Linked DNA regions of Callithrix jacchus. The protein of the gene in region 1 purifies or fractionates together with the protein of each later gene. This does not show direct contact. Links are inferred from orthologs where the notes say so. Each region holds a gene or a part of one and is shown on either strand. Other genes may lie near its edges.

The links.
Region 2: the proteins of OSBPL8 (region 1) and GLG1 purify together in Homo sapiens (co-immunoprecipitation; 3 studies listed by BioGRID and IntAct, with this or other methods). This does not show direct contact. The link is inferred for Callithrix jacchus from reciprocal best matches to the Homo sapiens genes OSBPL8 and GLG1.

The regions. Positions count from the first base shown.
Region 1 is NC_133510.1:78,981,530-78,985,354, reverse strand, and holds part of OSBPL8 (oxysterol-binding protein-related protein 8), read left to right. Parts: intron 1-552; coding exon 553-685; 3' UTR 686-3,825. UniProt on the Homo sapiens protein: Lipid transporter involved in lipid countertransport between the endoplasmic reticulum and the plasma membrane: specifically exchanges phosphatidylserine with phosphatidylinositol 4-phosphate (PI4P), delivering phosphatidylserine to the plasma membrane in exchange for PI4P, which is degraded by the SAC1/SACM1L phosphatase in the endoplasmic reticulum.
Region 2 is NC_133521.1:31,788,486-31,792,310, reverse strand, and holds part of GLG1 (Golgi apparatus protein 1), read left to right. Parts: intron 1-1,968; coding exon 1,969-2,092; intron 2,093-2,810; coding exon 2,811-2,953; intron 2,954-3,200; coding exon 3,201-3,302; intron 3,303-3,825. UniProt on the Homo sapiens protein: Binds fibroblast growth factor and E-selectin (cell-adhesion lectin on endothelial cells mediating the binding of neutrophils).

The DNA.
Region 1 (3,825 bases):
GGAGTAGTTAAGAATCCGGTTATGTGGGAAACCATATGCAGACTTCAATTTTTATAACATTTAGCTAAGCTAAAATAGAATGTTAGTCTCTATCACCTGATGTTTGACACTTAGGAAATTCCTCTAGCACTAAAATACTCAGAAAGGAAGGAGAGGTTGTTTTTTTCTGAGGGTGGAATTGGAATCACTTTATTTTACTGCTGTAGCATGCTAGGAATGTAGCTGGGTTGCATGTGGAGGTGGAGTTGTTTCTGAGAAAGTCAGTTAACAAAGGCCTCTGCAGTCCCCTCTGTGCATGACTAATATTTCATTGGAATGTATCAGCTGAAATATGGAAATACATCCATAACAGTGGGTAAATATTCACTCTCTGAGACCTGTAAGTATTCCTCTTTGCAGTCCCAGACCCTTCCCCCTATATGCCACCCCACGACCCAGCAATTAAAAATTATTAACATTAAATGCTCTGTGACTGTTTAATATCAAATTCTGGTTTCTATGCTAACATTTCTGGCAAATCATTATTAAATTCGTTGTTGCTTATTTTTGTAGAAATATTATGGCTCTTCGAAATCATTTAGTTTCAAGCACACCTGCCACGGATTATTTTCTGCAACAAAAAGACTACTTCATCATTTTCCTCCTGATTCTGCTTCAAGTCATAATAAACTTCATGTTCAAATAGTTCTCTACCATTGAATCAGTGAACTAGAAAGATCTGATTTGGCCTGGGACCATTGTTCAAGTTGGTTTGGTCTTTATTAAAAATCACAATATTTCTAAAAAAATAAAAATAAAAAAAAAACCTAGTAGATAAATGTAGAGGTATTGACTTTTCGTATCTTTTATCTTCACACTGAAACAAGAGCTATCCTATTTGATTATTAAAGTGAGCTATGTGTTAAGTGCCAGGACATTTCTAGCTTTTGTGAGAATGTGTCTACATGTGAGTATAATAAACCCACATGTATACACAATTGTCTCTTAAGTACTCTTACCTTACAGTAATCTTCGTATTCTATAGTATGTTCTGAGATGTAATGTTAACATTGTTCATAACAAAAAATGCTATAATCTTATAAATACATGTAATCTATTTTCTTCATAAAACAGGCACAAAACTTTTATCAGTAAGGAATTACAGATTGAGAAATGATGGAATAATAGACATAATTAGTTCAATGCAGTACTGCTAAAATCATTTGCAAAGCACTCAGCTGAGTTATCTTCTTAGAAAGAAAAAGTATGAATGGTCAAAATGAATATATTGAAAGAGATAAATGGCAAATTGTTTTTTTTAAAGTTTACACAAGATTTTTTTTAACCCCCAGAATTTAATATATAGAGATTGAGGTAAATATATATACTTATGTGTATATCAGTATAAAAACACTGGTGTGCAACTACTTGGATTGATTATAATACCACCTTAAGCACTTGCAGAAAAAAGTGTTGTCAAAATTGATTGCTGTCCTTTTTTCTTACTTTTGTTTTTCTTAGGTCATCTGGTTCATAACATAGGCCAAATTCTAGAGATGTTTATAGGGCATTTGAAGTGCTGGTAATTCATGTTTTCTCATTATGAAAACTTATTTTAGCTTTAGACCCTAGTGTGTTCAGTGAGTAAGTAGAATACAAAAGATTATAACCAATATTTTACTTCAAAAGCCAAAAAGAGAAAGTCAGTAAGAAAAGACACTGTGTGGTGGCACGTATGTGTACATTAAGATTGGTTTCTGTAAAACACGCAATAAGTTGAGTATCTATGAAGACTATCAAGTTCTGAAGTTTAATTTTTTATTATCCCCCTCTATTTTTAGTAACTTCTTTCTGTGGCAAAACCACAATTCTTTGAGAATTCTATTATTCAGGCTAAGAAAAACTTAAGTTTTTTTGTTTCTTCAGTTTAATATTTTCACTTTGTATTTTTATATAAATATTTATATTCCATGAGAACAGTTTTTGCCAAGGTAGTTAAGTTTAGGAATATGTTGTTCTCAAATATGTCTTAGAATCCTGAAAGTATAGATTTTGAATTTTTTTTTAATAATAATGAATGTCAGAGAGAATAATTGCCCTGACCACATTTGCCTTTCAGTAGGAGGTGGCTGTGAAATAGTAAAATTATAATCAGTTGTTTATGCCATGATAAATACAAGGGCTGATTGCTAAATTATGAAAATCAAAATGATTATAAAAAGAGCCTGCTTTTTTCCCTAACCAGTGTAGCTATCTTAAGTATTCTTAGGTTTCTGTGAAGAACCATTTCCCATGTTTTGTTGGCACAGTAATTCTGTCTTCTATATGTACATGTGAATTGATGTTTTAAATTGATAAAAGCATAAATAAGACCAACCTATACCCATTATTTTCATGACATTAGAACTAATGGATTTTTGGTTATATTTCATATTTGTCAATGTAATTTTTGTATTCACATTCTGTTACATTCTGCCTATTCATTGATATATGATATTCTGTAAATATTGTACAACTTGATCTTTTTTATGCTTTAAATTAGTTAATTACATGTAACTTGATTGGCTTATCACAAAAATGATTTCATCATTAAACCTTGATAACACTTTTTATTGGTGACCCACCTCTTAGGACTTTGGTCTTATCCACGTGTATGTTGTTTTCATTTGGTACAAATAATATTTCATCTGTATGGGTATCATCTAAGACTAAACAGGTGGTTGTTTTCTTTATTTTTAAAATTTCTTTTTAGAGCAAATGTTATGGGTTCTTACCCAAAGAGTCAAAACTATTTCTTAAGAAAGAGCAGGGTTATTCATGACTGTTTCTTGTACACTAAAAGCATACATCTAATCTAATAGTCCTCTTACGCTTTTAGTTGTATGAGTTTCTTTCTATGAACTGAACACAAAACTCAGGAATTGGTGGCTTAATTTTAGATCAGTGCTTGTACTAGGCTTAGTTATACGAATCTTTAAAACACGTAATTACTAACTTTGTAGCCATAATATGTAATTGACTTTGAATGTTATTTACCTGAAATTAATCTTCCTTCACACCTGAATTCATAATGTGATTTACAGTTCCTAGTTGTCTGAGAGCCTCATGAGGGTTTCTAGGACTTAGTACTTTATGACCAGTTTTTTTCATTTATCAAAATTTTATTTTCTTACATGAAAACTTAATTGAGTAATAATTATTCACATGTGCATTTTATTCATAGCTGTTAAATGTCCCATGCCATCATTAACCATTTAGTAAGATGTAGCTGGCCCAGGACACGTAAAAGAAAACAGTAAATAGGGCATGTGAAATGTTAAGTTACAGCAATAGATATTTCGCTTGTATTTCATTGTTTTGTATCACTTAGGTACAGTGTACTCTTGGTCACAGCTCAGTTGGCAACTACGTTCCATTGAAAAGTAGGCCTTGTAAAATACAATTTTCATTTAATATTCATACTGTTGTGCCTTTAAGAAATATGTTTTGTCATTTTTGTGTTACAGAACTAATATGATTCAAGGTGTTTATAGACTTAGTTGTCATAAAAGCGTCATTTCTGTGTCACTTTATTTTTTTTTATATAGCTATAGTATATTTAAACAATAATGCTATCTTTTATAAGGGTTTGTCTATTTACCTATTCTTTACTCAGACATTGATGTAGACTTGTCAGATTATTCTGAATATTGTTAACAGTGCCTTTTCGATGGAATTCACACTTTTTTGGCTGTCAACTTGTGCCATATACATACAAAATTTTGTGGAAGGCAGTTTTAACTTTTTGAAGAATATCTGTCAAAATTTAAGAAAACAAATGTATAAAATTCCATTTTTTCCAGTATT
Region 2 (3,825 bases), on another chromosome or scaffold:
CTCTGGGAGTAGAGCACAAAGCTTCTTAATAGCCTCCCCAGGGGATTCTGATGCAGGCTCAAGTTTGGAAACCACAGAGCTGAGAAAACTGACCTAGCTTTGTCCTGAGACACAAGTAAATAGATGTGCAATAAATAGATGATTGGTTTTGAGGACAACTCCAGGTAGCTATACTGAGAAAGTGACCATCTAGTGTTCTGATCATCCATCTGCCACACTCAGATTTTTCTGTTCTACAGATTGTTTTGCTTCATTCCCTCCTTCACCAGATGTTCTCTGCATCAGGGCTGAGCTGATTACCTAGATGTCAGTTCCTTGATCTAGCCACACACATAAGGAGACTCAACTCAAGGTTCAGATGGGCAAGGTGGCTCACGCCCATAATCTCAGCACTTTGGGAGGCCAAGGCGGGAGAATCACCTGAGCTCAGGAGTTAGAGAGCAGCCTGGCCAACATGGTGAAACCCCGTCTCAACTAAAAATACAAAAATTAGCCTGGTGTGGTAGTGCGTACCTGTAGTCCTAGCTACTCAGGAGGCTGAGGCAGGAGAATCACTTGAACCCCGGAGGTTGAGGCTGCAGCTGCAGTGAGCTGAGATCGCACTGCTGCACTCCAGCATGAGCAACAGAGCAACATTCTGTCTCAAAAAATAAAAAAAAAAAATTAATTTAAACTCAAGGTTCTAGCTCCTTTATTTCAGCTTTCCTTTAAATTAAAATGCTACTTTTTACACTATCAAATAACATCCAGAGAGAATTTGGAATTTACAATGTAAATCTTTTTAACTGGCCTGTTGAAATTGAGTCATATGGAAATGTCAGGCTCTGATCTGAGAGCGCTTTGTAAGATTTTCTAAAAGTCAGTGAGCAATCCCTGTCCCCGTAACAAGATGTCAGCAGATTATAATCACATGTTTTAGAGAACTAGAAACAGAACCAGGAAGAGAGGCTCAATGCTCAATTGTCTCAACTAGGGTGTATCAGACACTGTGACACTTGAAGACTTGTGGATTTGCAGAACAGAGATGGAGTTTATTACTAGTCCAAAACTAATCTCTGATTTAATGGACAGCAGTAAGTGTACAGGGCCCTAGTTCTTTACTGCTTGGTAGGATTATAGCCCTTTAGTTAAAATGAACCAGTGAGTCCTTACCCCACATCCTTATTCATATTGGTTAGTGGAGAATTCCTAGGTTTTCCCACAGGACTTGGGTGGATAGGGCTTGAGGGCTACACAGCCACCTGGTACAGTGTTACATTCATGCTTAAATAATAAGTAGGTTCCTGAGATGTCATTTAACTTAACATCGCCTTCTAGATAGGAAACCAGTCCCATGCCAAAGTAAGAACCAGTGAGGTAGTGAAAAGAAATGTGAGAAATACAGTAGAGAATGCTTGTTCAGGCTTAGCTGCTCCTCTTGTACCATACGACACCTTCAGGCTGCTGCTTTCATCAGCTTTCTGATAGACGTTATGGGTGATCACAGGCTAGTCCAAGTGCAGTGGTGTTTACAACTAATTGAGCACAGCCAGTACAGATTTATTTGTTCCTTCTACACCTATGTTGCTGCACTTGATCATCCTTTAAAAAAAAAAAAGTGGCAAGGAAATGGTGGCTCACGACTATATCCCAGCACTTTGGGTGGCAGAGGCAGGCAGATCACCTGAAGTCAGTAGTTCAAGACCAGCCTGGCCAATATGGTAAAACCCCATTTCTACTAAAAAAAAAAAAAAATAGAAAAATTAGCTGGGGGTGGTGACACACACCTGTAATCCCAGCTACTCGGGAGGCTGAGGCAGGAGAATCACCTGAACCCAGGAGGTGGAGGTTTCAGTGAGCCAAGATCGCGCCACTGCACTCCAGCCTAGATGACAAAGCAAGACTCTGTCTCCCCCCTAAAAAAGCGGTTGCAGATGAGTTAATTGCCGTATTTGGATAGCTGTTTTTATAAAACTGTTTTCTTTGCAGAGGTTCTGTCCAGAAGCAGATTCTAAAACCATGTTGCAGTGCTTGAAGCAAAATAAAAACAGTGAATTGATGGATCCCAAATGCAAACAAATGATAACCAAGCGCCAAATCACCCAGAACACAGGTAAGAGCTTGGCTTGGCTCTCCTGGCCCCGTTGAGTATCTTAAAAGGAATTCAGTGGCTGTAGCGTGACCTGATCAAACTCCTGGGAATTTGAAGGGAGGAGTCTGAGTGTAAGCAGGAGACTTCCTTTTCTGAGGAGCATCCAGAAAAACGGAGGGAGAGTCAGGGGAGAGAGGAGGCCAGAAGAACCAGAAAACTGCCCTTCAAGAACGTTCAGAAGAAATCAGGGCCAGCATTCCTTGGAAGGAGAAATCTAGAAATTCAATAAAACTTGATGAGTGTGGCAGGAGAATGTATGGGTAACCTAGTTCGGAACAGAGACATTTCAACTCTGAGTTGGAAGACTTTGTAACTTCGTGGGCACAGTGAGTTGGATATTGTATTTCCTTCTAAGTATTCTCAAAAATATCTGTTACGGAGAAGGTTGCTGATGTCTGCTTGATTTTTCTGAGGACTCCTTACCTTAGACTGTTGGAATCCCCGTGAAACCCCTCAGAGTAGAAAGATTCCTGAGGACCTCCAGAAGTACTCATTAACTAAATCATATTGTGATTAAAAACAGTGTAGTGAGAACTCAGTAAATGTTTATTGAATAGACAGATTCATGGTTGTAGTCATGGTCATTGACATAATATGCTCCCTTTAGGAAGGTGGATATCTAAAAATGTGTGAATCCAAGGTGGAATATTTGTCACCCACTCTCTGCTTTCTGCTCTAGATTACCGCTTAAACCCCATGCTAAGAAAAGCCTGTAAAGCTGACATTCCTAAATTCTGTCACGGTATCCTGACTAAAGCCAAGGATGATTCAGAATTAGAAGGACAAGTCATCTCCTGCCTCAAGCTGAGATATGCTGACCAGGTAAACTGGCCTGGGCTCTCTACAAAGGTATATTTATGGAGCCTCTATCCCTGGGAATTTTCTCTTTTGAAATCCCTAGCTTGTTCTGGTTTTCCAAAAACCTTTTTCATATCTTCCCCAAGCCGGTGGGGCTAAGGGGCCAGATCAGAAGCAGACTTTTTTTTCTTCTTCTTTTTATTTTATTTTTCTCGTGTCCTGCTTTTGCATTTTCTGATCAGCCAATGTATCCTCCCTTTGTCACAAGCAGCGCCTGTCATCAGACTGCGAAGACCAGATCCGGATCATTATCCAGGAGTCCGCCCTGGACTACCGCCTGGATCCTCAGCTGCAGCTGCACTGCTCAGACGAGGTGGGATTTGTTGCAAAGTTGGTTGCACACGGAGCCACTCAGAGAAGTTTTCACTGGAGAAAAGTTGTTTGCTTTCTTTCCCTTCAGTCCTGAATAATCTGTGATGAATTGAAGGCTGTCTTCTAGGCTCTCCATGGTCTGCGTTCCTGTTCTCTGTAACACTGAATTCTATTTGGTGTTAGTCCTGACACTGTACAGCATTGGTTGCATATTTCTCTATTGAATGAGGGTATTCTTTCATTATAGTTTTCCTTGTAAATTTGTTCTTCCCTTCTCCTTATTCTGTATGGTCAACTCAGAATACCCCAAGACTTCCCAAAAAGATAAAAGTACTTCCAGCTGGGCACAGTGGCTCATGCCTGTAATCCAGTACTTTGGGAGACTGAGACGGGTAGATCACTTCAGGTCAGGAGTTTGAGAACAGCCTGGCCAACACGGTGAAACTTCATGTCTACTAAAAATACAAAATTAGCCTGGCGTGGTGTTACACACCTGTAATACTAGCTTCTTGGGAAACTGAGGC